3 linked regions of the Anolis sagrei genome follow. The protein of the gene in region 2 purifies or fractionates together with the protein of the main gene of each other region. This does not show direct contact. Links are inferred from orthologs where the notes say so. Each region holds a gene or a part of one and is shown on either strand. Other genes may lie near its edges. The genes, in order: EIF4A1, IBTK and RPP25L.

The links.
Region 1: the proteins of IBTK (region 2) and EIF4A1 purify together in Homo sapiens (co-immunoprecipitation; 4 studies listed by BioGRID and IntAct, counting the BioPlex papers as one, with this or other methods). This does not show direct contact. The link is inferred for Anolis sagrei from reciprocal best matches to the Homo sapiens genes IBTK and EIF4A1.
Region 3: the proteins of IBTK (region 2) and RPP25L purify together in Homo sapiens (co-immunoprecipitation; 3 studies listed by BioGRID and IntAct, with this or other methods). This does not show direct contact. The link is inferred for Anolis sagrei from reciprocal best matches to the Homo sapiens genes IBTK and RPP25L.

The regions. Positions count from the first base shown.
Region 1 is NC_090026.1:3,280,446-3,285,824, forward strand, and holds the start of EIF4A1 (eukaryotic initiation factor 4A-I), read right to left. Parts: upstream 3,842-5,379; 5' UTR 3,790-3,841; coding exon 3,767-3,789; intron 508-3,766; coding exon 459-507; intron 1-458. UniProt on the Homo sapiens protein: ATP-dependent RNA helicase which is a subunit of the eIF4F complex involved in cap recognition and is required for mRNA binding to ribosome.
Region 2 is NC_090021.1:108,202,579-108,207,957, reverse strand, and holds the start of IBTK (inhibitor of Bruton tyrosine kinase), read right to left. Parts: upstream 3,412-5,379; 5' UTR 3,150-3,411; intron 1-3,149. UniProt on the Homo sapiens protein: Acts as an inhibitor of BTK tyrosine kinase activity, thereby playing a role in B-cell development. Down-regulates BTK kinase activity, leading to interference with BTK-mediated calcium mobilization and NF-kappa-B-driven transcription.
Region 3 is NC_090022.1:300,717,559-300,722,937, forward strand, and holds the start of RPP25L (ribonuclease P protein subunit p25-like protein), read left to right. Parts: upstream 1-1,794; 5' UTR 1,795-1,876; intron 1,877-4,338; 5' UTR 4,339-4,346; coding exon 4,347-4,904; 3' UTR 4,905-5,379. UniProt on the Homo sapiens protein: May be a component of ribonuclease P or MRP.

The sequences.
Region 1 (5,379 bases), on a different chromosome or scaffold from region 2:
AAGGAGCTGATCTAATATCTCTAGGGAGGGTATTCCATAGCTGAGGGGCCACCATCGAAAAGGCCCTGTCTCTCGTCCCCGCCAGCTATGCTTGTGACAAGGGTGGAATCGAGAACAGGGCCTCCTCAGATGATCTTAAATTTCTTGAAGGTTCGTAAGGGGAGATGCGTTTGGACAGGTAAGTTGGTCCAGAATCCCTGAACTAGAAGGACAAGCGGTTCTTGGACTTGCTATAGCAGCTAATGTTTCAAGGACTTGGTGCCTAAAAAAAAATGGGATTTAGCCACTGAGTGCAAGGAAGCTCCAGGAAGACACACAACCCCTACCCAGACAGATCCCTTCCATTTGCAACCCCACAGAAACCCACAGCAACATGTTCATCCCTGAGAAGTCCCTGGTGCTTTCTAAAAACACCCAGTGGATTCCTTCAAGGATCCCAAGCTGCAGGCCGCACTCACCTCAATGACACCATCGGGGTCCATTCCTTCAGGGCCATTGTCTCTAGATCTAGGAAGAAAACACTGAGAATTAGCTGCCAAGGGACAATCAGACTATGGTGTCCCTCAATATAGACCAGGCATGGGCCAAATTTGGCCCTCTGGGTGTTTTGGACTTCAACTCCCACCATTCCTAACAGCCTCAGGCCCTTTCCTTTCCCCCCTCAGCCTCTCAGTTATTACCATTGTCATCATTGTTTCTATACAATGTTATTATCTTTGGTGCAATTATATTGCTTTTCCATCAGGCCATTGTTTTTTCTCCTTTTAAGATCAAGGCTACATTCTTGTCAATTCCTTATCTTCTATTTTCCTGTCTGGACAATCTGCACATACGTATTGTATTGTGCCCTCCCCTCCTATCCTTTAGAAAGGAAGTTAAAAACTGGTTATGGAACCAGGCATTTGGAGTGTAGCACAGGGCTATAGGCAGCTACGAAGTGACGGCGTTGCGATTGGAACGGCTTCTGGAGTGTTTTCAGGTCTATGTGTACTGTTTTTAACAGCTTAATGAATGTATTTATATGTTAGTGTTTTGGAACGGCTTCTGGAGTGTTTTCAGGTCTATGTGTACTGTTTTTAACAGCTTATTGAATGTATTTATATGTTAGTGTTTTATGATTTCTATGATATATTGTATTTTTTGAGCTTTTATGTTAATAAATTCCATCTGAACATGAAGAAGAACTTCCTGACTGTGAGAGCCGTTCAGCAGTGGAATTCTCTGCCCCGGAGTGTGGTGGAGGCTCCTTCTTTGGAAGCTTTTAAACAGAGGCCGGATGGCCATCTGTCAGGGGTGATTTGAATGCAATATTCCTGCTTCTTGGCTGAATGGGGTTGGACTGGATGGCCCAGGAGGTCTCTTCCAATTCTTTGAGTCTATGATTCTATGATATATCTGTGGAATATCGGCTGAGGGGAAAAGGAAAAGGCCTGAGGCTGCTAGGAATGATGGGAGTTGGAGTCCAAAACACCCCCAGGGCCCAATTTGGCTGAAAAAGTTCTGAGGCTGCTGGGAATGATGGAAATTGGAGTCCAAAACACCCCCAGGGCCTTCAGTCTCTTGAATTATGTTTCTCCCATCGATATAGTTGGCCCTCGAAGGTGGCAACACAGCTCTGCCGCCATTTTTGACCCGAAAACACCATTTTGGGCCTCCCAGACCGGAAGTTCCGCCGGCCTCGCGCCCTTCCTTCCTGACATCCGGGTCTTTTCCCAGCGCGCGGGGCTCGAGGCCTCTGCGGCGCCTCCCACTTCCGGAATTTCCTTATAAGGCCAGCGAGGCCCCGCCCTTTTTTGCTCGCCTGCGGCCACGGGGGCCGCGTGACGTCACGGGCAGCCGAAAAGTTCCCGGATGCAGAGCGGCAGGACAATGGGCAATGGAAGGAGAGAGGAAAAAATGGACGCGCCCAAAAAAAGGGGGGGGGGAGGGGAAAATAAGGAGATTCTAGGATTCACAACTAATGGAATTTCCCATTCGAGAATAGAGATGGGAAAAGGAGATTCTAGGATTCACAATTTCCAACTAATTGGATTTCCCCATTAGAGAAGGAATTCGGGAATGGTTTCGCCTTAGCGTGCCTCCCCATTAAGGGAATGGTCTCGCCCAAGCGACCCAAAGAAATGATTTCCAACGAAGAGGTGGAAAATGGGTTTTCTCATTGGAGAATGGCGGAAGGGGTCGAACTGAGCGTCCTCCTAAAAAGGAATGGTCTCGCCCAAGCGTCCCTAAGAAACAAGACGCTGGGAAATACCAAGTGTTTCGGGAGGGGTGGGTAGAGTTGGGGGATCGGGAATAGGTTCGCCTGAGCGTCCCCCGTTTAAAGGAATGGTCTCGCCCAAGCGTCCCAAAGAAACAAGGCACTGGGATTCACCAAATGTTCCGGGAGGGGCGATTAGAGTTGGAAATGAGGGGTCCCCCGTATATAGGAATGGTGTCGCCCAAGCGTCCCAAAGAAACAAGGCGCTGGGAAATACCAAGTGTTTCGGGAGGGGTCGGTAGAGTTGGGGGATCGGGAATAGGTTCGCCTGAGTGTTCCCCGTATAAAGGAATGGTCTCGTCCAAGCGACCCAAAGTAACAAGGCACTGGGATATACCAAATCCTCCAGGAGGGGGGATTACAGTTGGAAACGAGGGTCTCGCCCTATAAAGGAATGGTCTCTCCCAAGCGTCCCAAAGAAACAAGGCGCTGGTACATTCCAAATATTCCGGGAGGGGTTAAGAGTTGGAAATGAGGATCCCCCGGTATAAAGGAATCGTCTCGCCCAAGCGCCCCAAAGAAACACGGCGCTGGGAAATACCAAATGTTCCGGGAAGGGGGGGTTAAGAGTTGGAAATGGGGGGAAAGGAACCATTGTGTAAGAACGAGAAAGTTGTGTAAGAACGAGACGCAAAATGGCTCCTCGCGTGGGGGAAAGGAGAAGCGACGCCGTGCACATTCCACGAAAAAAAGTGGAAAATACAATTTAAAAATAATAAACAACCCCCCTCGGAAATTAAATGGACTCGTCCGCCATGTAGGAAGCCAACGGGAGGGACGAAACTATTTTAGAAATGGAGGGGGGTCGCAATTCCACTAAGGGCACCCTCGAAATTTAATGGATTCGTCCGCCATGTAGGAAATCAACGGGAGGGACGAAACTATTTTAGAAATGGGGAGGATTGCAACTCCACTAAGGGCACCCTCGAAATTAAATGGATTCGTCCGCCATGTAGGAAAGCAAAAGGAAGGGACGAAACTATTTCAAAAATGGGGGTGAAGTGGGTGCGCGAAATGCGGGGCGAGGTGGGATTGCAACTCCACTGAGAGCGCCCTCGATGCGCGAAATGGCGCCGAGGAGATAGGCCAAGGCGAAGGCCGCGCCAACGCTCGAGGCCTACCTCTCCTCTATTTTTTCTCACCACCACCCCCGGAAAGGAAATGGTTCCGCCCAGAGGTCCATAAGGGACTAAAAGGGCGAGGGAGAGTCCAATCCGTTTTTAGGGGGGGAAAGCGGGAGGGAAAGGAATCGGCCACGTGGTCAGGAAGAAAAGGGAACTTAAGGCCAAAGGATGAAAAAAAGGTCACGAAAATGAAACAAAAGCAAAATAATAACACCCAGGATTGTTAAAATAGGAATAACGAGGGATTTCTAATATTATCCCACCTACTGCGGAAATGGTTTGTTCCACCGCGGAGGGAGGATGGAAGGAAGAAGGAACAGCCGCGGCCTAGCGCGGAGGGGGGGGGAGGGGGAGAAGGGAAGAGCCTTCCCTCGCGCTCACTCACCGGCTCTCTTGACTCGCAGACATTCTGGGCAGAAAGGTCCTAGCCCCGCCCGCTTCACTCCACCTTATAACAGCCGCCTAGTCCCGCCCACCGGCCCCTCCCTTATTGGCCCGCAGGCTAAGTCCCGCCCCTTGTTTCCCCTCCTCCTATTGGACCATCGCACTGCCCGTCAGCTAGACCGGCTTCTCTCTGATTGGCTGCCCTGTTAAAAAAAAAACACACCCCGCGTCAGGCGTTGACGGAGACTCGCGCTGATTGGTTGAATCGCCGGAACTGGGTGACGTCAAAGTGGCGGGGCTTACTGAGAAAGCTGGAGACGTGACGTCAAGGAGGAGAAAGGCGACGCTGATTGGCTCTCCGCCGCGCCTGTCAGGAAGGGGCGGGAAAGGAGGTAGCCAATGGGAGGCGAGGAGGAAGGAGTAGGCCCCAAAGCAGGCCAGGAGAGGAAAAAGCCCACGTGGTGGAGAGGCCCTTCTTTGTGGGGGGCCAAATTAGGAAGGGTTCCAGTCGTTGCAAATAGGAACTACAATTCCCAGGATCTTCCGGGGGATTCTGGGAATTGTAGTCCAAATGGGAACTGGGGGATTCTGGGAATTGTAGTTCAAATGGGAACTGGGGGTTTCTGGGAATTGTAGTCCAAATAGGAATTGTAGTCCGAATAGGAATTGTTGCAAATAGGAACTGCAATTCCCAGGATCTTCTGGGGGATTCTGGGAATTGTAGTCCAAATAGGAACTGGGGGATTCTGGGAATGTACTCCAAATAGAAATTGTTGCAAAAAGGAACTACAAATCCCAGGATCTTTCCGGGGGATTCTGGGAATTGTAGTCCAAATAGGAATTGTAGTCCGAATAGGAATTGTTGCAAATAGGAACTACAATTCCCAGGATCTTCTGGGGGATTCTGGGAATTGTACTCCAAATAGGAATTGTTGCAAATAGGAACTACAATTCCCAGGATCTTCTGGGGGATTCTGGGAATTGTAGTCCAAATAGGAACTGGGTGATTCTGGGAATTGTAGTCCAAATAGGAACGGGGGATTCTGGGAATTGTAGTCCAAATAGGAATTGTAGTCCGAATAGGAATTGTTGCAAATAGGAACTACAATTCCCAGGATCTTCTGGGGGGTTCTGGAAATTGTAGTCCAAATAGGAATGGTTGCAAATAGGAACTACAATTCCCAGGATCTTCTGGGGGATTCTGGGAATTGTAGTCCAAATAGGAACTGAGGGATTCTGAGAATTGTAGTCCAAATAGGAATTGTTGCAAATAGGATCTTCTGGGGGATTCTGGGAATTGTAGTCCAAATAGGAAGTGGGGGATTCTGGGAATTGTAGTCCAAATAGGAATTGTTGCAAATAGGAACTACAATTCCCAGGATCTTCTGGGGGATTCTGGGAATTGTAGTCCAACATCAGCATGGGAAAGGGTTCCCATTCTTTTCCAATCCAGCATGATAGCCTTTCAAATGCCCATAGCTCTATGCTATGGGGTTCTGGGAGTTGTAGTTTCCCAAGGCCTTGAGCTTTCTCTCACCAAACTACACTCCCCAGGACTCCAGAGGTATCAAACTGTATTAGTGTTACAGTGTAGATGTGCCTTTTAATGCAGGC
Region 2 (5,379 bases):
ATTTATGGTTCATAAACATCTTTCACACATAGCTTGAAGATATAGAATGATTGTGCTTTATCCAACATTCTTGGGGCCAGAAGTGTTTGTGATCTTTTTGGATTTTGGAATATCTGCATTTACACATATATACATTATATAACTTGAAGATGGAACTAAAGGCTAAACACTAAATTCATTTACGTTTCATATATGATAAAAATTCTATGCATGAAATAAAGTTGTGTACTTTAAACCATCCGAAAGCAACAGTTTCATTATTCTCAAGTTGACAACTTGAAATATTTCGGCATTCTGGATAAGAGAAGGTCAGCCTGGTATTTTTAATAATTTTGTGCATGATACGATGTTTGTGTACTGTGAACTATCAAAAAAACAAAGGTGCCATTATTAGTAGGTTGACAATTTGAAGGTGACAGTACCTCAGCCACCCATGTGAACAATTTTGGATTTTAGAGCATTTCAGAATTCAATATAAGGGAGCCTTGACTCATAATTTTATATATGGTGTTTTTAATCATTTTGTGAATAAAACAAGGCTTGAATGTTGTGAACCATCAGAAACCAAAGGTGCAACTATCTCAGACACCCATCTGGACAATTTCAGAGCATTTCAGATTTCAAGATATGGGCTGTTCAACCTGTACCAGGCTTTCTAGGACCACTGTTTACTGTTTTTCCTCCTTCTTCTCATATTTGTTGACATTAATCCTCATCTTCCAGGCATAATTTCTACAAATTTCAAGAAACTAGATGAAATGCAAATGATAAACCCATATCATATGAAGTATAAAAGTTCAACTCATACAGCTCTACTTTCCCAAAACTGTGCAGATCTATACCTACTGAATGTCTGCCTCCCACAGAGCTGTCCAAAGCCCGGTTGAGAAGGAACATACATTTGTCTATGGCTCGTGACAAACAGGAATCCTCGGCATGCGAGTGCAGAGAAGAACAAACCACTGACCACCTGCTGCAATGCACCCTGAGCCCTGCCACATGCACAATGGAGGACCTTCTTGCGGCAACACCAGAGGCACTCCAAGTGGCCAGATACTGGTCAAAGGACATTTGACCAACTACCAAATTTGCAAAATCTGTGTGTTTTCTTTTCTTTTTTTCCTTTTCTTTTTAATCTATATGTTTGTTTTGCTCTGTTAGAATTGTAATACAATGGTATGGTTGCTGATGACACGATAAATAAATAAATAAATAAATAAATAAATAAACGAGTCTATGGCATCATCAAATCTAATGCACACCTCTATTTTCAAAACCCTTAAAAACAAAAGTGTTGGAATATCAAAGCTTCCAGAGATGGAAAGGGAAACCTTGGAGTGCATCTATGCTGTAGAATGAATCTACTTTAACTTCCTTGGTTCAATACTATGGTTTCATGGGGGCTATAGTATGGGATAATGGGGGCTGCCAAAGAATGTTGATGCCACACCAAACTACAAATCCCAGCATTGCATTAAATTAAATTAAACATGATGTCCCTCAAATAGGAGCTGCAGGTGAATACTACACAAATCTAATTTTGGGAAGGAAATTTAGCCAAAAAAAGGTGAGCATTAGATTGGAGTAAATACAGTATCTTCCAGATATTACAATGCAAAGACTTCTGGAGAAATTCAGTGTTCACTGCCTAAGAAAAGAGCAGTGAGCCTTGCTTAAGTCCAGCATTTATGATGATGAAATCTAAAGCAGAACTTCTTAAACTAGAAGAAATCTACACTGCCATATAATCCAGTTTCTGAATTCAGATTAATTGTCTTAAACTGGATTACAGGTTGAATCTACACTTCTATATAATCCAGTTCAATGTAGTTAAATCTGAATGGCTCAGTTGAACTGGAAGAAACATGCAGAACCAAATAAACACTGACCATAGCTCAATGTTATGAAATCATGTAGTTTTGCAAGTTTCTCTGCCAAAGAATGCTGGTGGCTCACCAAACTACAAAGCCCAGGATTTGCAGAGCATTGAACCACGGCCATAAAATTTGAAATGGCATCCCTCAAATAGGAGCTCCGGGTGTCTCTGGGCCCTTCCAGACGGGCCCTATATCCCAGGATTTGATCCCAGGTTTTCTGCTTTAAAATGGATTATATGACTCCGCACTGCAAGATAATGTGGGATAAACCGACAACCTGGGATTAGATCCTGGAATATAGGGCCTGTCTGGAAGGGCCCTCTGAAACAGCTTCCCCTTTTGCTTTGACTCGGCACAATGGGCCCTTACAAACAGGCCCTATATCCCAGGATTTGATCCCAGGTTTTCTTTTTATCCCAGATTATATGGCAGTGTAGACTCATATAATCCAGTTTAAAGCAGAAAATCTGAGATTCGGTCCTGGGGTGTGGGGCCTGTCTAAAAGGGCCCAAAGATTACTGTATTGCACAAATCTATTGAGCACCCTAATTTTAGTCCAAAAAGCTGAGCATTAGATTCAAGTTAAAGCGATAACAATTTTGCCTCTCTGTAGACTTTGAACCTTTCTCAGCTTGGAGACTCATCTTTTTGGTCACCAGCATATCCTTAACAGCTGTTTACTTCTATCATGTGGTGGCATCATCCAGATAATTATACAGCCAAGCTACATGAATGCTCAGGTTACACATTGGGTTAAAAGTGCAATATTTCTAATTCTGAAGTCTGTGTTTATTCTTTTCCCCCAAAGCCTTGTACAAAGTCCTGGCTGCCTCCTTCTTCTTTGCCAGGCCTGGGCAATCTTTGGCCCTCCAGGTGTTTTGGACTTCAACTCCCACAATGCCTAGGAATGGTGGGAGTTGAAGTCCAAAACACCTAGAGCAGTGGTTCTCAACCTGTGGGTGCCCAGGTGTTTTGGCCTACAACTCCCAGAAATCCCAGCCAGTTTACCAGCTGCTAGGATTTCTGGGAGTTGAAGGCCAAAGCATCTGGGGACCCACAGGTTGAGAACCACTGACCTAGAGGGTCGAAGGTTGCCCAGGCCTTCGCTGAATAGTATAGAATGAATAATTTGATCACCCCTTAAGAGTATGGGCTCCTGGGAGTTATAGTTCTGCAAGGCTTTTATCCACCTCTGGCAAACTACAAATCCCAGGGGTCTTGAGCCATGCCTCCCCCACAGCCCCCCCCCCCCCAACTCCCTTCAGCCCTCACCAGTCGCTAGATGAATGGGCTCGGGCGGTCGTCAGCGGGGCTGCGGAGGGAGGCGGGGAAGCTCATGCTCAGTGGCGCCGAAGGGCTCCGGGCCCAGCCAGGAGGAGAAAGAGCAGGAGGAAAAGGAGAAGAAGGCCGGGCTGGAGGCGGGGAAGACAGGGGCCGATGCTGCCCAGTCTGACAGGGCCCGAGAAGGAAGCCGCCACGGCTGCAACCCAGCAAGAGAGGAGGCGCCCAGACCCGGAAGCAAGCGGACACGCGATTGGCGCGGAGTTTCCCCAACGCCGATTGGCTGGAAGCTGCCAAGAGTCAAAAAAGGGACTGAGAGGGGAAGGGAGGACAAGGGGAGGGGCTAGGCACAGAAAAGGGGCGGGGCTTATCCTCCCCTCAGCGGCTCTGAATCCAAAAGCTCCATCACATACCGTTGCCATGGCTACCTCCTCTCTTTTAAGGAGGCCCAAAAGCTTCCTGGCCCCATGGCAGTGAAAGTATAAGGAGCCATCTGCATTGTACAGTGGATGCGGTTTGACAACACTTTCACTGCTCTAGCTCAGTGTTAATTAATGGAATCGTGAGATTTGTAGTTTGGGAATGGACCATCACTCTGGCAGAGAATCATAGAATCAAAGAGTTGGAAGAGACCTCATGGACCATCCAGTCCAACCCCCCTGCCAAGAAGCAGGAATATTGCATTCAAATCACCCCTGACAGATGGCCATCCAGCCTCTGTTTAAAAGCTTCCAAAGAAGGAGCCTCCACCACACTCCGGGGCAGAGAGTTCCACTGCTGAAGGGCTCTCACAGTCAGGAAGTTCTTCCTCATGTTCAGATGGAATCTCCTTTCTTGTAGTTTGAAGCCATTGTACCGCATCCTAGTCTCCAGGGAAGCAGAAAACAAGTTTGCTCCCTCCTCCCTGTGGCTTCCTCTCACATATTTATACATGGCTATCATATCTCCTCTCAGCCTTCTCTTCTTCAGGCTAAACATGCGCAGCTCCTTAAGCCGCTCCTCATAGGGCTTGCTCTCCAGACCCTTGATCATTTTAGTCGCCCTCCTCTGGACAAGGGCCCTTCCACACAACCGTATATCCCAGAATATCAAGGCAGAAAATCCCACAACATCTGCTTTGAACTGGAATATCTGAGTCCACACTCAAATAATATGGGATTTTCTCCTTTGATATTCTGGGATATAGGGCTGTGTGGAAGGGCCCTCAGTTCAAAGCAGATATTGTGGGTTATTCTGCCTTCATATTCTGAGTTATATGGGGATGTGGAAGGGCCCTAAGAAAATTCGACAAATGTTACAAAGTTTTTAGCCATCCCTGCCAAAGAATGGTGATGCTTCGGAAACTATAACTCCCACGATCCCATAGTCTTGAGCCATGGCTGTCAAATTGTGTTAGTTTTACAGCAGGGTCCCCCAAACTTCTTAAGTTAAGTCCCTCGAAGTGTTGGAAATAGCAACTTTCTACAAGCCTCCTATACTAGTGATTAGTTATGTATATAATTCAGATTTATTTGTTTGTTTATTTATTTATCGTGTCAGGAGCAACCAGACAGTTGTATTACATTTTTAACAAAACAAACAAACAAAACAGACAAAACACAAAGTTTGCAAGCTTGGTAGTTAATTACATGTCCTTTGACCAGTATCTGGCCACGTGGAGTGCCTCTGGTGTTGCCGCAAGGAGGGCCTCCATTGTGCATGTAGCAGGGCTCAGGTTGCATTGCAGCAGGTGGTCTGGGGTTTGCTCTTCTCCACACTCGCATGTCGTGGATTCCACTTTGTAGCCCCATTTCTTAAGGTATAATTCAGATTGCTTACTCTAATGTTGTTTGAGGTTGTGGGAGGGGCTGCAGACCATGTGATCAGATCTGGGACTATTCAGACTGAGACTTCATGAGACTTTCAGAATGTAAAGCTGTTGCTGTTTGATTCTAAGAAAGATGCCCTGTGTTATCTGCACAGAGAAACTACTTCAAACCTATCTATAACTGGATTGACAAGTTATGTACTTGTATGCTGAACGCATGAAGTTTGTAAGTAAACCAACTATGTTACTTTTTTGGAAAAAAAATGGATTTTCTGCCTTGACATTCTGGGATATAGGGCTGTGTGGAAGGGCCCTGGATTATCCGAGTTCACGCTGCCATAATCCCAGTTCAAAGCAGATATTGTAGGATTTTCTGCCTTAAATCTGGGATTTAGGGCTGTGTGGAAGGGCCCT
Region 3 (5,379 bases), on a different chromosome or scaffold from region 2:
GAGTAGAGAAGGAAGGAAGGAGAGAAAGAAGGAGGGGAGGGGAGAAGTAAGGAAGGAAAAAAAGGATAGAGAAGAAATGAAGGAGAGAAGGAGGGAGAGAAAGAGGGAAGGAGAGAAGGAAGGGTAGCGAAGGAAGGAAGGAGAGAAGGAGGGAAAGAAGGAAGGGTAGAGAAGGAAGGAAGGAGAGAAGGAGGGAAAGGAGGAAGTGAAGGAGAGAAGGAAGGAAAGAAGGAAGGGTAGAGAAGGAAGGAAGGAGAGAGAGGAAGGAGAGAAGGAAGGAAAGAAGGAAGGGTAGGGAAGGAAGGAAGGAGAGGAGGGAAAGAAGGAAGGGAGGAGATAAGGAAAGAAGGAAGAGTAGGGAAGGAAGGAGGGAGGGAGGGAGAGAAAGGGAAGGAGAGAAGGGAGGAGAGAAGGGAGGAGATAAAGAAGGAAAGAAAGAAGGGTAGAGAAGGAAGGAGGGAGAGAAAGAGGGAAGGAGAGAAGGAAGGAAAGAAGATAGGGTAGAGAAGGAAGGAAGGAGAGGAGGGAAAGAAGGAAGGGAGGAGATAAGGAAAGAAGGAAGAGTAGGGAAGGAAGGAGGGAGGGAGGGAGAGAAAGGGAAGGAGAGAAGGAAGGAGAAAAGGGAGGAGATAAAGAAGGAAAGAAAGAAGGGTAGAGAAGGAAGGAGGGAGAGAAAGAGGGAAGGAGAGAAGGAAGGAAAGAAGGAAGGGTAGAGAAGGAAGGAAGAAGAGAAGGAGGGAAAGAAGGGAGGAAGGAGATAAAGAAGGAAAGAAGGAAGGGTAGAGAAGGAAGGAGGGAGAGAAAAAGGGAAGGAGAGAAGGAAGGAAAGAAGGAAGGGTAGAGAAGAAAGGAAGGAGAGAGAGAAAGAAGAAGGAGAGAAGGAAGGAAAGAAGGAAGGAAGAAGAGAAGGAGGGAAAGAAGGAAGAGAGGAGATAAAGAAGGAAAGAAAGAAGGGCAGAGAAGGAAGGAAGGAGAGAAGGAGGGAAGGAAGAGAGGAGATAAAGAAGGAAAGAAAGAAGGGCAGAGAAGGAAGGAAGGAGAGAAGGAGGGAGAAAAAAGAGGGAAAGGAGGGAAGGGGAGAAGGAAAGAAAGAAAGGTAGAGAAGGAAGGAAGGGAGAGAAAGAGGGAAAGAAGGAGGGAAGGAGAGAAAGAAGGAAGAAAGGAGAGAAGGAGGGAATGAAATAAAAAAGTGAAAGAGGGAAGGAAGGAGAGAAGGAATAAAAGAGAGAAAGAAGGAAGGAAGGAAGGAAGGAGAGAAAGAAGGAGGGAAGAAGAGAAAGAAGGAAGGAAGGAGAGAAAGAGAGAATGAAATAAAAAAATGAAAGAGGGGAGGAAGGAGAGAAGGAATAAAAGAGAGAAAGGGGAAGGGAAGGAAGGAAAGAGAGAAGGATGGAACCAAAGAGCAAAGGAAGCGAGGAAAGAAACAGCTAGAGAAGGAAGAAAGAAGAAGGGAAAGAAAAAGAGGGATGAAAGGAAGGAGAGAAAGAAAGGAGGAGAGAAAGAGGGAGGGAAGGTTGGCCATAGCAAGGCATGGCAGGTATAGCTAGTGTCTTATAAAATCCAACAGAAATCATCTGAAATTTAGAATTAGGATTTTGAATTAAATTTCCCAACACGCCCCCTGGAGGCCGGCTGAGCAATGTACTCCTTCAACCGAGGGGCGTGGTCTTGCTTGGCGGTTCGTCCAATGGGAAGGCGGGGGCGGGGTTTCGCTCCTCGCTCTGCGCGGGGAAACCTCTCTTCCTGGCTTCTCCTCTGCGTCATAAGGAGGCGCCTGTGACGCGCATGCGCGGAAGAGCAGCCGGCTCTGTAGGAAGCAGGAGAGGCGCCATTTTTCCCTGAGCGCCCTCTGAGCAGGAAAGCAGGCAGGCAGCAGGTGAGCGGGAGCGGAGTGGGGCCTACACCATACCGAGAGAACTTGTTGTTATATTATTACTGTTATGTTTATTATTACCGTATGTTTTTTCTTTCCACAGAAGAGACTTCAAGTCTATATATAATCATAGAATCATAGTCCAACCCCATTCTGCCAAGAAGCAGGAATATTGCATTCAAATCACCCCTGACAGATGGCCGTCCAGCCTCTGTTTAAAAGTCTCCAAAGAAGGAGCCTCCACCACCATATAATATAATATATAATAATATAATATTATTAATAATATTATGCGTTTTTCCACAAAGGAGGCTCCAAGAGAGATATTGACTCTAAGCTGGAATGTGCCCAGAGGAGGGCGACTCAAATGATCAAGGGTCTGCAGAACAAGCCCTATGAGGAGCGGCTTAAGGAGTTGGGCATGTTTAGCCTGAAGAAGAGAAGGCTGAGAGGAGATATGATGAGGGCCATGTATAAATATGTGAGAGGAAGCCACAGGGAGCAGGGAGCAGATCAAGGGTCTGGAGAAGAAGCCCTATGAGGAGCGGCTTAAGGAGCTGAGCATGTTTAGCTTGAAGAAGAGAAAGATGAGAGGAGACATGATGAGGGCCATGTATAAATATGTGAGAGGAAGCCACAGGGAGCAGATCAAGGGTCTGGAGAACAAACCCTATGAGGAGCGGCTTAAGGAGCTGAGCTGAGCATGTTTAGCTTGAAGAAGAGAAGGCTGAGAGGAGATATGGTCAGCGCCATGTATAAATATGTCAGAAGAAGCCACAGGGAGGAGGAGGGAGCAAGCTTCCTTTCTGCTTCCCTGGAGACTGGGACGCAATGGAACAATGGCTTCAAATTACAGGAAAGGAGATTCCATCTGAACGTGAGGAAGAACTTCCTGACTGTGAGAGCCGTTCAGCAGTGGAACTCTCTGCCCCGGAGTGTGGTGGAGGCTCCTTCTTTGGAAGCTTTTAAGCAGAGGCTGGATGGCCATCTGTCAGGGGTGATTTGAATGCAATATTCCTGCTTCTTGGCAGAATGGGGTTGGACTGGATGGCCCAGGAGGTCTCTTCCAACTCTTTGATTCTATGATTCTATGAAACCTATATAATATATAATAATAATTTATTAATAATAACATGTTTATGTTTTTTTCCACAAAGGAGGCGCCAAACCTATATATATATATATATATATATATATATGAAACATTATAAAACATAATAAACATTGTGTGTGTGTATATATATTTATATGTTGTTTATTATGTTTTATGACGATGATTATATTTATTTATTATGATTATTTTCCACAAAGGAAGCTCCAAACCTATATATATGAAACATCATAAAGCATAATAAACATTGTGTATATGTGTGTGTGTGTATATATGTTGTTTATTATGTTTTATGACGATGATGATGTTTGTTTATTATGCTTTTTCTTTCCACAAAGGAAATTCCAAGCCAGTTTATTTATTATTATTTTTCCCACAAAGGAGGGTCCAAACCTCTATCTATCTATCTATCTATCTATCTATCTATCTATCTATAATAAACACTATATATATATATATATATATATATTGTTTATTATGTTTTATTATGATGATTTATTATGTTTTATGATGTTTCATATATGTGTGTGTGTGTGTGTGAAACATCATAAAACATAATAAACATTGTGTGTGTGTGTGTGTGTATATATATATATATTGTAATGTTTATAACAATGATTATGTTTATTTATTATGCTTTTTCTTTCCATAAAGGAAATTCCAAGCCAGTTTATTAATTACTATTTTTCCTACCAAGGAGGTTCCAAACCTATATATATATATATATAGTTTATTATGTTTTATTATGATTTATTATGTTTCATATGTGTGTGTGTGTGTGTGTGTGTGTGTGAAACATCATAAAACATAATAAACATTGTATGTGTGTATATGTGAATGACTCGGGACTATGTCTGTTCTTGTTTTTATTGTATTTTAAAGTTAATTGTATTGTTTTAATCTACTGCTGTAAACCGCTCCGAGCCAAATTGGGAGTAGCGGTATACAAGTCAAATAAATAAATATCTCTGTGTGTATATATATTTATATATTGTTTATTATGTTTATGACAATGATTATGTTTATTTATTATGCTTTTTCTTTCCTTTGTGGAAAGTCAGGAGGTGCTGTGGTTTTTAGCTTTAAATATGTTTTAATGGATTTTAACTGCAATTTTGTTAGTACCGTTACGTTTAATTCTGTTTTAATATTTGTATATTTTAAATTATGTGTTCATACTTTTAATGTAAGCCGCTTTGAGTCTCCTTTGGTAGAGATAAAGGGAGGTATATATAAACAACAACAACAATAATATGTATATATGCAAAATTCATATTGCTTGTCCTAGCATTAGACACTAACATTCTGATTAGATGTTTAAGTTTTCTTTTTCTTCTCTTTGCTTGATATCAAGTGTTGATCATGGAGAACTATCAGAAATCCAAAACGGTGGAGAAGCCTTCTCCTCTTCCTTTCGCCAACTTGCCCCCTGATATCATTGAGATGAAAGTGAAGGATGGCAGCAAAATCCGGAACCTGATGGGTTACGCCATCGGCAAGATGGAGTCCGAGGCCATGAGGCAGGTCCTCTTCAGCGGGGTGGGCAAAGCGATTAGCAAGACGATCACCTGCGTGGAGATCATGAAGCGGAGGATGAAGCACCTCCACCAGATCACCAAAGTGTTCTTCAAGCAAATAGAGGAGATTTGGGAACCCATCGTTCCGGAGGTTGGCCTCGACCCTTTGACGGTGAAGCGGAACATCCCTGCCATTTGTGTCCTGCTAAGCAAAGACCCCCTGGACACTCAAGCGCCGGGGTATCAAGCCCCGGGGTCCTTCGATGCCTTCTGGTTGGAGACGCTCAAGTCGGAATCTCAAGGCCAGGCCAAGAGGAAGCAGGGAGGAGGAGGGAGAGGGGCTGGCCGGACTGGGAAGCATCCTCGCTCCCTCGGACGGGAGGACTCCTACAAGAAGCCTTGAGGAAGCTGAGCTTCCGAGTGCCAGGAATTGTCTCCAGAACCAAGAAAAGCCAGATAGCTTTCACCTTAATGTTGGAAACAGTGAGAGTGGGAAGTTACATCGAGGGAGTGGGGGGAAAAGGGCAGGTGTGTCTGTTTGAACGCAAATACCAAGTCATATTGGATGGATTGAACATGAAGGTGTTCTAGCTTTGAGCCTTTCCCTTACAGAGAGTTTTCAGTTTACGTTTAGAAGCAGTGAGAGATGGAAGATATATTGGATAGAAGGGTCTGTCTGAATGTAAACACTAAGTTGTATTGGATGGATTGAAGTGGAAAGCCTCCTAGCTTTGGGTTTTTACCTTATGGGGGAAGCCTTCTTTGTATTACATAAAGTCTGTTCAGGAAAGGGATACTTGGAATAGTCGTGGAAAGGAAATGCAAGATATTCCTCAGTGGGAAGATGTCCCTCTCTCGTACAAGGATGGCTGATGGAG